Saccharomyces cerevisiae S288C: one gene and its partner. The protein of the gene in region 2 purifies or fractionates together with the protein of the main gene of each other region. This does not show direct contact. Each region holds a gene or a part of one and is shown on either strand. Other genes may lie near its edges. The genes, in order: FZO1 and MDM30.

Region 1 (5,269 bases), on a different chromosome or scaffold from region 2:
AATCTATGAGCCAGTCAGCGGTGCAAACTCCACCATCCGAGAATTTGACAATTTCCCTGCCGTAGAATACAGGAAATTTCTTAGAGAAATCAGCAGCACCTAAGTACAAAGTTTGCAAAATACCTGTGAACAAGTAAGGACTCAATTTGAATTGGGCACCATTCTTCAACGTTGGGACATATTTGTTAGCGAACTCGTCAAAATCAACTTGCTCCTTGTTGTCTTTTAAATGGAGTTTAATGGAACCATTTTCACCGACAATATGCGAAACTGTACCATTGTATCCCCAATGGAATGGGTTGATTGCTGGCCATTTGGAAACTTCTGACATATCGGAAACTTTTATGAGCTTTGTTTTTTACGCAACTACTATCAATGTAATAATAGAACTTAAAAAACTGCTCATATTAATAATAAACGGAGGAAATACTCGAGGAGCTATTACTTCCAGGGACATCCGATATCTGACGCCTTTTAAAATCTGCACATGCGCAAGATTTAAAAAAAAAAAAGGATCTCGGAACCGGAACGAGATTGCTCATTTTTCGTTCCGTTTCCGCAGGTTTTGCAAATCATTAAGCAGATACACAAGGGTCCTTTTAATGTTTATGTAATTTCGTGCAAAGTGAAAAAAAAAATGGACCTGCTTGGAATAAAATAATAAGTAACATTATGTATATTGATTTGAAAAGACCTCATATATTTACAAGAATATCTAATCGATGTCTAAATTTATTTCTTCCACCATCAATTTTTGAGCCACGGTTCCTTCGTATAGAGATTGGAAGAATTTGATTGACAACAAGTTACTTTCTTTTTTGTTTTCCAATTCTTTCTTAGTGATTTGTTTTTTATCCATAATTATTTCACACGACCTTAGAATTTCACGTGTAGGTACACGCAAAACATCACGTACTTCATTTGAGGTTCTTTGAGCGTTAAGATGAATGTAATCCAGTTCTTGCAACTTTCTTTTGTATTTAATGGAAAGATTCATTGGTAAGGCACGGGGGAGGTCATGAATTAAATACGTAAGTCCCAACAAGGAACCTACCACTATAACCGGAACTGATAACTTCTTGAGTGAGCTCCACGACGATAATTTAATGCCGTTTAATATAATGTTCCCCACAACCTTTGTACTTCCTAGAAAGTACAGCGTTAGAGTGGGAATTTTTGATGTGAAGAGCAATGATGGTCTTGACCAATATTGTGTCAAAGGATAATTTTTCAAACCCAAATACTTCATTAGGCCAATCTGACCCTCGTTAGTTTGTCCTTCTATATCCGGCAGTGGTGCTGTGACAGGTTTCTGCCAGCTTAAGTAAGACAAAAAGCCTTTCCAAGTTGGAGCAAACAAATCAGTTATTGACAAAGATACTTTAAGCCTTTTTCCTATCAAATGCTTCCTTTTTCTAAACATTAGTTCGCTTCTGAAAACACGTTCACACATGAAATCATCACCAAGTTCATTTTTTCCAATCTCATAAATTTTTTTTACCAGTAAATCTGTCTTTTGCTTGGCAAATAATTCACTTGATCCTATTGACTCATCAATCTGATTTGCTATGAACGCTTCTGTTGAAAATATGAAGTCATAAATTTGACCGAGGCCCTGATATTTCGGATATTCGTGTAGCGGAACATCCAACGCATTGAGAAGTGCTTCTTTAGTATTGTTATAAGTCATTGTAATTGTTTGCTCGGCCATTTGATCAACGGAAGTTGTTAAATCATTGCACTTTGCTCTAGCGCTCAAAATTTCAGGTCTCAATGTTTCCAGTTGTTCGTTAATTTTTATTTCTTCTTCACTATACATTTTCATATTAGATTTGGAGATCATTATTATATCGCTTAATAATTTCGATAGATAAGTCTTGGCAGGTAACAATTTAGAAAGTGATCTTTTCTTCAAAACAAAATTGCGTAGAGAATCTTCCAGACTGTCAAAATCCGGATCGGGATCGCTGCTAGAATATGGGTCGTCGTCAGGTTTTCGGTCACCATGATCTTCATTGTCATTTTCATTATGATAATGTGGCAATTCATCTCCGTTTTTGGAAACAAAGTGGACAAAATCAGCTGCACGTTTATATGTTTCTGGGGACAGGTCACGGATTTGCTTTAGGATCAACTCCTTACAACGTTGTTTGTCCCTGATTTTGTCAAATTTTTTCACAACAAAAAACATTAATTTTTTCTCACGAGATGCTAAAGAAATAAACTCCTTGGCAGATAGTGTTAGCTGGTTCTCTGCATTGACAACAAATATAACTAAGTCGATTTCTTCTTGTCGGGACATTACTTCGGCGGTTTGTAACGAGTCCATGTTCAACCCAGGGGAGTCAATTAATGAAATATCAACAGTACCATTCCTTAATAGACTAGTAGAGGCAGGCCTTTTATCGTCCTTTATGTAAATCTTCAGTAAAGCATATTTTCCGTTTTGGGGAACCAAATCGGGAAGTTCTTTCAAAGTGTGTATTTCATAAGTCTTGGGATTTTGTATTGAATACATATCAATGGCTTCCTTGAGAGTCGGAGCAATGTTTAGTGGTATGGCATGAACCTCCTCTATGCCGTCATTTTCCCGAGCCTCTAGTATTTCGGAAAATACATTGGTACATGGTAGCTGATCCTCAGGTAGCAAACGCTGCTTTAATAGAGAGTTGCAAAGAGCTGATTTACCAGTATTTACATCACCTGTGATGAATACTTTAGATGAAACGTCATCCACTCTTTTTTTCAAAGCGTTTAAATGATTTGTCACTGATACGATCTGAGAGTGAAATAATTTTGATAAAGCTTTTTTCTCAATGTTGAAACCGTTCTTTTCTTTGGTATTGTACTGACCATCTAGCTTGATATTCAGTTGTAGAACATGTAATTTTTCCCGTTCATCATTTGCAGCAATAAAAATCGGGCGAATATTATTTTCTTCTTGAAGTTGATCCATAAAAGCTTGTGTCTTTAATATAGATCTTTTTAAAAGTACTCTATTGTTGTTATAATTCCACTGGCTAAGTTGTGAAGAAATTAAGTGTGCTTTTGAGTTGGAGGAACGCAATGAGGGCAACAAATCATCCTCCCTACGCCCCTCTTCACCATCAAACAAAGTGGTACGGTCATCAGTTACTCCATGGAAATTACTGCCTAAAAAATGACCTTCGTTGCGTGAGTAAGTAAGAGTTTGTGGTACTATTGTGGCGGCATCATCGTCCTGATCTGTGGAGTCCTTGTGCGGTTTATTGCTGTCTTTGAATTGTTGTTTTCCTTCAGACATCGTTAAATGAGCCTACCGTTTTGCCTCTATCCGTGATATCAGATAATGTTGCTATGTTCGGATGTACTTTGCTTTATTTATTAAGGGCTACTGTAACCTGCGTTATCCTGTTTCAATAATGCATCGTCCGTCTTAATTAATATTAGCCCGGCCATATTCTTCAGCATGAAAAGCTGTATTTACCCGGACTGCGCACCAACTTTTAAATATTAATCTCCGTTCGGTCTTTGCGCGAGTTATTATACTAGCGCCACGTATTAGTAATACTATAGCTATCTTGCCAGATAAGGGATCACAAGGAATTATATACCGTGGATCACAACTATCCATATCACTCTTCCCAATTTCGCGGAGAAATACTTATGCAGGTTTCCAAATCATTTCCGTAGCCAAAGCTGCCTGTTGGCCACTGTTTTGGCATCTCTCTACATTTTTTTTTTTCATTGATACTTTCAACCCAGACATTCTGTCACCTGGTGAAAAACGACACAAACTCCTTTGTAACAACAATTGCAATTTTAAGATATATGAGAATATTGATAAGGCTAGAAGGATGGTAGTAAGAAAAGTTGTTGTTGGTAATTTTTCAAAAAAGAGTTTCAAGAGCTGGGAAAAGAATTAAGGCAATGGGAAGCGAACCGTTTCAGAAAAAGAATTTGGGTCTGCAAATTAATTCGCAAGAAAGTGGAACAACCCGCTCAACATTTCATTCGCTAGAAGATCTAGGAGATGATGTAATTAATGAAAGCTGGGATCAGGTGAACCAAAAGAGAGCCAATATAGATCATGATGTCTTTCATGAGCACCCTGACTCTTCCCCATCATTGTCAGCACAGAAAGCAAAAACAAAAGAAGAGGAAGTTGCTGTAAAGTCATCGAACTCCCAGTCAAGAGACCCTTCTCCTGATACTCAAGCACATATTCCATATACTTATTTTTCCAAGGATCAAAGACTAATCATTTTTGGAATTATCATTTTTATAGGATTTTTGGGCCCAATGTCTGGAAACATATATATACCGGCTTTACCATTGCTGCAAAGGGAATATGATGTAAGTGCAACAACAATAAACGCTACAGTTTCTGTATTTATGGCTGTTTTTTCCGTTGGTCCATTGTTTTGGGGCGCACTGGCGGATTTTGGTGGAAGGAAATTCTTATATATGGTGTCGTTATCACTAATGTTAATTGTTAATATACTTTTGGCCGCTGTACCAGTCAATATTGCTGCCCTTTTTGTTTTAAGAATTTTCCAAGCTTTCGCTTCCAGCTCTGTGATTTCTCTGGGAGCTGGCACTGTAACAGACGTTGTTCCTCCAAAACACAGGGGAAAGGCCATAGCGTATTTCATGATGGGTCCAAACATGGGTCCTATTATAGCACCCATTGTTGCTGGGCTTATTTTAATGAAAGGAAATTACTGGAGATGGCTTTTTGGTTTCACTTCTATCATGACAGGAATAGCATTGATCTTGGTTACTGCTTTACTTCCAGAAACGCTACGTTGTATAGTTGGTAATGGAGACCCTAAATGGGGTGACAAAAAAGATGAACGTGAAAATAACGAATCTCCATTCTTCGAAGGTAATAAAATATCACATCGGCGTCTGTTCCCAGACATTGGTATCCGTAAACCAGTCAATAATGATGCTTTCTTCCAAGAAAATTTTCCAAAGCCGCCTAAAGCAGGTTTGACACTATATTGGAAAATGATTAAATGTCCTCCAATAATAATCACGTCCGTCAGTACTGCACTCCTGTTCTCCAGTTACTATGCGTTCAGCGTCACGTTTTCGTATTACCTTGAACATGACTACCGTTTTACTATGTTAGAAATTGGTGCTGCTTATGTCTGCCCAGGTGTAGCTATGTTACTAGGATCTCAATCTGGTGGGCACCTCTCAGATTATCTTCGTTCACGCTGGATCAAAAGTCATCCTAAAAAGAAATTCCCGGCAGAGTTTCGTTTATTACTGAACCTAATTG
Region 2 (4,264 bases):
AGAAGTGCCAGTAAGACGACACCCTATTTTTCAAGTCCAGCATTGGAAGACTTCCAATGAACACTCTTATCATTATTCTTTATGCATTACGTTTCGCAGTAATCCTAGAACCCTAACTTTTTCTAAAATTACCGTCAAAAATGACGGACGCAACTTTTCTCAGAAATTTTTTTTTTCATTTCTCTTAAAAAGTTTTCTACGCTGGATAAATTGTTCTCTTCCCTTTGAAATATGGAGACGTTCAAAGTCAATTTCCACACATTTAAGGTGAACAAATAAATTATAAGATACCACATTAACAACAAGTATGTGGACGAGGTGTGGTAAGATCTCCGCTGAGGTTGATTGAAAAGTATTGGGTAAATTTGTACTTTTTGTCTGCTGCTGGTCGTTTGTCTTTCGTTTTAAAATTGCGCTAGACAAGTAAACAGGGATTGCTTAAGAATCAAAGTAGCTTAACTCTAAAGTATTATTTTCCTCAGTTGTGGGCCCATGTGTTGGAGGGAAGGAATATATTGAAATGTAAATGTTCTTAAGTTCGGTTGAACTTGGATATTGTTACAAGAGTTCTAGTCTTTGATACCATTTTTACGCAATTACAACCGCATTATTTACCTTTTCATCTTCAGTTTTACGGTTCAGTTTATTCTGTTACGAAAGAACTATGGTGATTCAAAGGCGAAGTGCGTAGGATTGTAACTCCTATATCTTTAGGATACTTACAATTTTGTACTGTTTTCAAGACCACTGTAACCGATAATAAACCGGAGGACACATTTTAACCCACTATTTTTTTCAGAAGATCAGATGCGAGAGCTCGAAGCATAAGTATAATACTAACGTTTCAAAACATAGTAATTAGGTAAAAAATGACTCGCTCTTCCGTTTTAGCTGATGCTTTGAATGCCATTAATAACGCCGAAAAGACCGGTAAACGTCAGGTTCTATTGAGACCTTCTTCCAAGGTTATCATCAAGTTTTTACAAGTTATGCAAAAGCATGGTATGTTCCAACTATTTTTCAATATTTTCACATGTGTTTCAATTTCTGCTTATTTTTAAATGTTACCACGAGGTTTGTCCAAGTTCAATGTTGCGCAACTCTAACGAAGAAATAATTATTGCCATTGTTTTTTACTCCGGGCTGATAACTAGATGGTGTGATCGGGCAGTATACTAATTTATACTGGACAAAGACTCGTAAAAGATGTTCTTTGTGCTTAGTCCCATACTGTTTTTTAAGTGTCCGGGATATTTAATCCCATGTGGAAATGCTTCTTACACGGTTATGGATTACACCTCATGTGTAGCTACTATATCCATTACCGTTTACTTTTCCTCAAAATCTCACTCTTAAAATTTTCAATGGCAAAATTCTTCCGCACAACTTAGACAACATTTTCTTGTTTTTTATGAAGTAAGCAAAAATTTCGAATCAACAACGCTCCATGAGATTCTTCAATACTAACATTTACTCCTTATTTAGGTTACATTGGCGAATTCGAATACATTGACGACCACAGATCTGGTAAGATTGTCGTCCAACTGAACGGTAGATTGAACAAATGTGGTGTTATTTCCCCAAGATTTAACGTTAAGATTGGTGACATTGAAAAATGGACCGCCAACTTATTGCCAGCCAGACAATTCGGTTACGTTATTTTGACTACTTCTGCGGGTATTATGGACCATGAGGAAGCTAGAAGAAAGCACGTTTCCGGTAAAATCTTGGGTTTTGTCTATTAAGTAAGTTTTTAGTAGTGGTACATATATAATATTAATTCTTATATCCGTCTTTTCTCTTTGGTTATTTTCTCAGCTTCAGATATTCAAGGAACCGTATTTTTGCGTAATAGCGAAAAATTGTTTATGTTACATAATAAGTGAAAGCTGGAGGAGCATATGTATAGAATCGAAGAGAAACCTGAACAATTTTTCGGTATTAGTTACTAAAAGGCTCACATATACATGACAAAGAGGAGAAACCTCTTTATGGTTGGTTCTTCCTTCACAATAGATCATTTACCTCCAGAAATATGGCTTTGTATTTCTAAGCTGGTCGGGACGTCTGACCTGCATAACTTGTGTTTAATTAACAGAAGATTGTATTTGACAATTACAAGTGATGAAATTTGGAAAAGAAGATGCTATGACCGATGGATAAATCGAGAAAGCTTAGATATTTTAACTGGTAATGATTACGATTCTATACCCGTCTCTCAATGGTATTCTTACTATTTAAGAAGAGCAAAATGGGAGAATAAAATTTTTTGTCTATTATGGGGGTTAACTGAAGAAACAAATCCCCAACATTTCAGAGAGAAATATTTGCATATCCTCCAATTTAGACATTACAAACTGGCTACATTTCTGCATAGGATTATAAAACAAGGCTACATACCTGATAAAAGACCACTTGATTTAATCACGTATGCAAACTATCTGTTGAAAAATGTGCGACATAAGTACGTATTTCCTTTATTTTATCCCACAAATGCCGCTGAATTGAAAAATCTTAATAATATGGCCTCAAGGGATGCTGAAATGATATATTTAAGATTATCTGCCATTGATACGTCTTTTGATGACTTACTAGATGCTAGAGAATTCATATTAAATGGAATATGTTCCGATCTACTACAAAAGTATAAAAAAATTGAAGAGTTTTTGAAATTACGACCGGTGACTAGGGTTTCCAAGTTAATCTCAATCAGTACTGACTATCTGGACTGCTTCACACAACCTCATGATTCAGTGGGTCAAACAAATGATAGGGCCACAGGAAGGGAGCTACATAGAGAGGATTTCATGTTACTAAGAGTATATTCCCGAGAAGGACGAGGTTATAAAACTATCATTCTAGCAATAATACAGGCTATCACTAAGAGATATAACGTTGATTCATATCTTGCTCGAGATCATTTGGTGGTGTCTGAACCAGACTTTCCAGATGGACGGGCATTTGTTACCGTGAATGAGGATTTCCAGCCATACATTTTTGATAAAGAGGACCTTTTGAGCGTTTGGTCGAACAACTTCCATAACGCAGAAAATTTTGAAAGTACAGTTTTACCAGCATTATTAGAACCAATATCGATACAACATCTTCTGACGGAGTTCTTTCGAGAACTGCTGCGATGCAAGCCCAGGCCATTTGAGGGATATCCAAACAGAGCACACGGATTACGCGATATGTTTCCATACGGAAAAGTGGAAGTTCCCAGAGATGTGACGATGTATTTTGCATTTATATACGATCTTTTCGATGGCATGTTTGAATCTGGAATGACAAGTTTACGGGGCCAGATGTTGAGAGATTTACTGAACTACGTTAACGCTAATAATTTTGGTGATTTGAATATCATCATTGGACAAAATGCTCTTAAGGAACCAAATGACTGCTGGTCCAACAAGAGGGATTACGTTCTTCTTGATGACAATAATAAGATTGGATATTTCTATACGGATATTGAAACTGAGGATACTTTATGTGCCTTAAACCAATATGAAGTGGACGGCAAAGTTTTTATAACAACAATAGATATCTTGGGTGATATAAGAGTACGCCTGGCTGAAGGACTAACGCCTTTTCAGGGAGATAATGATAAGTTGTGGGAGAGCTTTTCTTCCGTTGTTCCACGAACTGACTGGGGACTTTTTTTCAAAGGCTATGACAAAGAAAGGCGTAGAATGCAATTAAACCCTTACATAGAGGAAAAGCTTTCCAATCTAGCGAATGATGAACAGCCTTTACATAATTTATAGTCATATTTAAGGAGGTTTCCAAAAGTAGCATCCTGACACATTCTATTACACCTTTTTTTATCAGCCCGAGCGGCCTTTCCTTAACGGTGTATACATTTTCTAACAGTATTAAGTCAAAAACAGCAGCATCAAAAGTACGACTACTTTTACAAGATTTCTTTAGATATTTACTTCACATAGAAGAAGAAAATCAACGGAATAAAAATCCAAAAATCATGCTTAAATCTGGTAGACTCAACTTTCTCAAGTTGAATATCAATTCACGATTACTATACTCAACGAACCCTCAACTGACTAAGAAGGTCATTGGTATCGACCTGGGTACCACGAATAGTGCTGTTGCATATATCCGTGATTCTAACGACAAAAAATCAGCTACAATCATAGAAAATGATGAAGGACAACGAACCACACCATCTATAGTTGCCTTTGATGTCAAAAGCTCGCCACAGAATAAAGATCAAATGAAAACTCTTGTAGGGATGGCAGCTAAAAGGCAA

What was found.
Region 1: the proteins of MDM30 (region 2) and FZO1 purify together in Saccharomyces cerevisiae (affinity purification with western blotting; 5 studies listed by BioGRID, with this or other methods). This does not show direct contact.

What each region holds. Positions count from the first base shown.
Region 1 is NC_001134.8:585,832-591,100, forward strand, and holds FZO1 (mitofusin), read right to left. Parts: upstream 3,284-5,269; coding exon 716-3,283; downstream 1-715. Other genes in the region: EHT1 (medium-chain fatty acid ethyl ester synthase/esterase), read right to left, coding at 1-331; DTR1 (Dtr1p), read left to right, coding at 3,910-5,269. UniProt on the Saccharomyces cerevisiae protein: Essential transmembrane GTPase, which mediates mitochondrial fusion.
Region 2 is NC_001144.5:855,573-859,836, forward strand, and holds MDM30 (SCF ubiquitin ligase complex subunit MDM30), read left to right. Parts: upstream 1-1,967; coding exon 1,968-3,764; downstream 3,765-4,264. Other genes in the region: 40S ribosomal protein uS8 RPS22B, read left to right, coding at 870-1,002, 1,486-1,745; Hsp70 family ATPase SSQ1, read left to right, coding at 3,980-4,264. UniProt on the Saccharomyces cerevisiae protein: Substrate recognition component of a SCF (SKP1-CUL1-F-box protein) E3 ubiquitin-protein ligase complex which mediates the ubiquitination and subsequent proteasomal degradation of target proteins. Probably recognizes and binds to phosphorylated target proteins.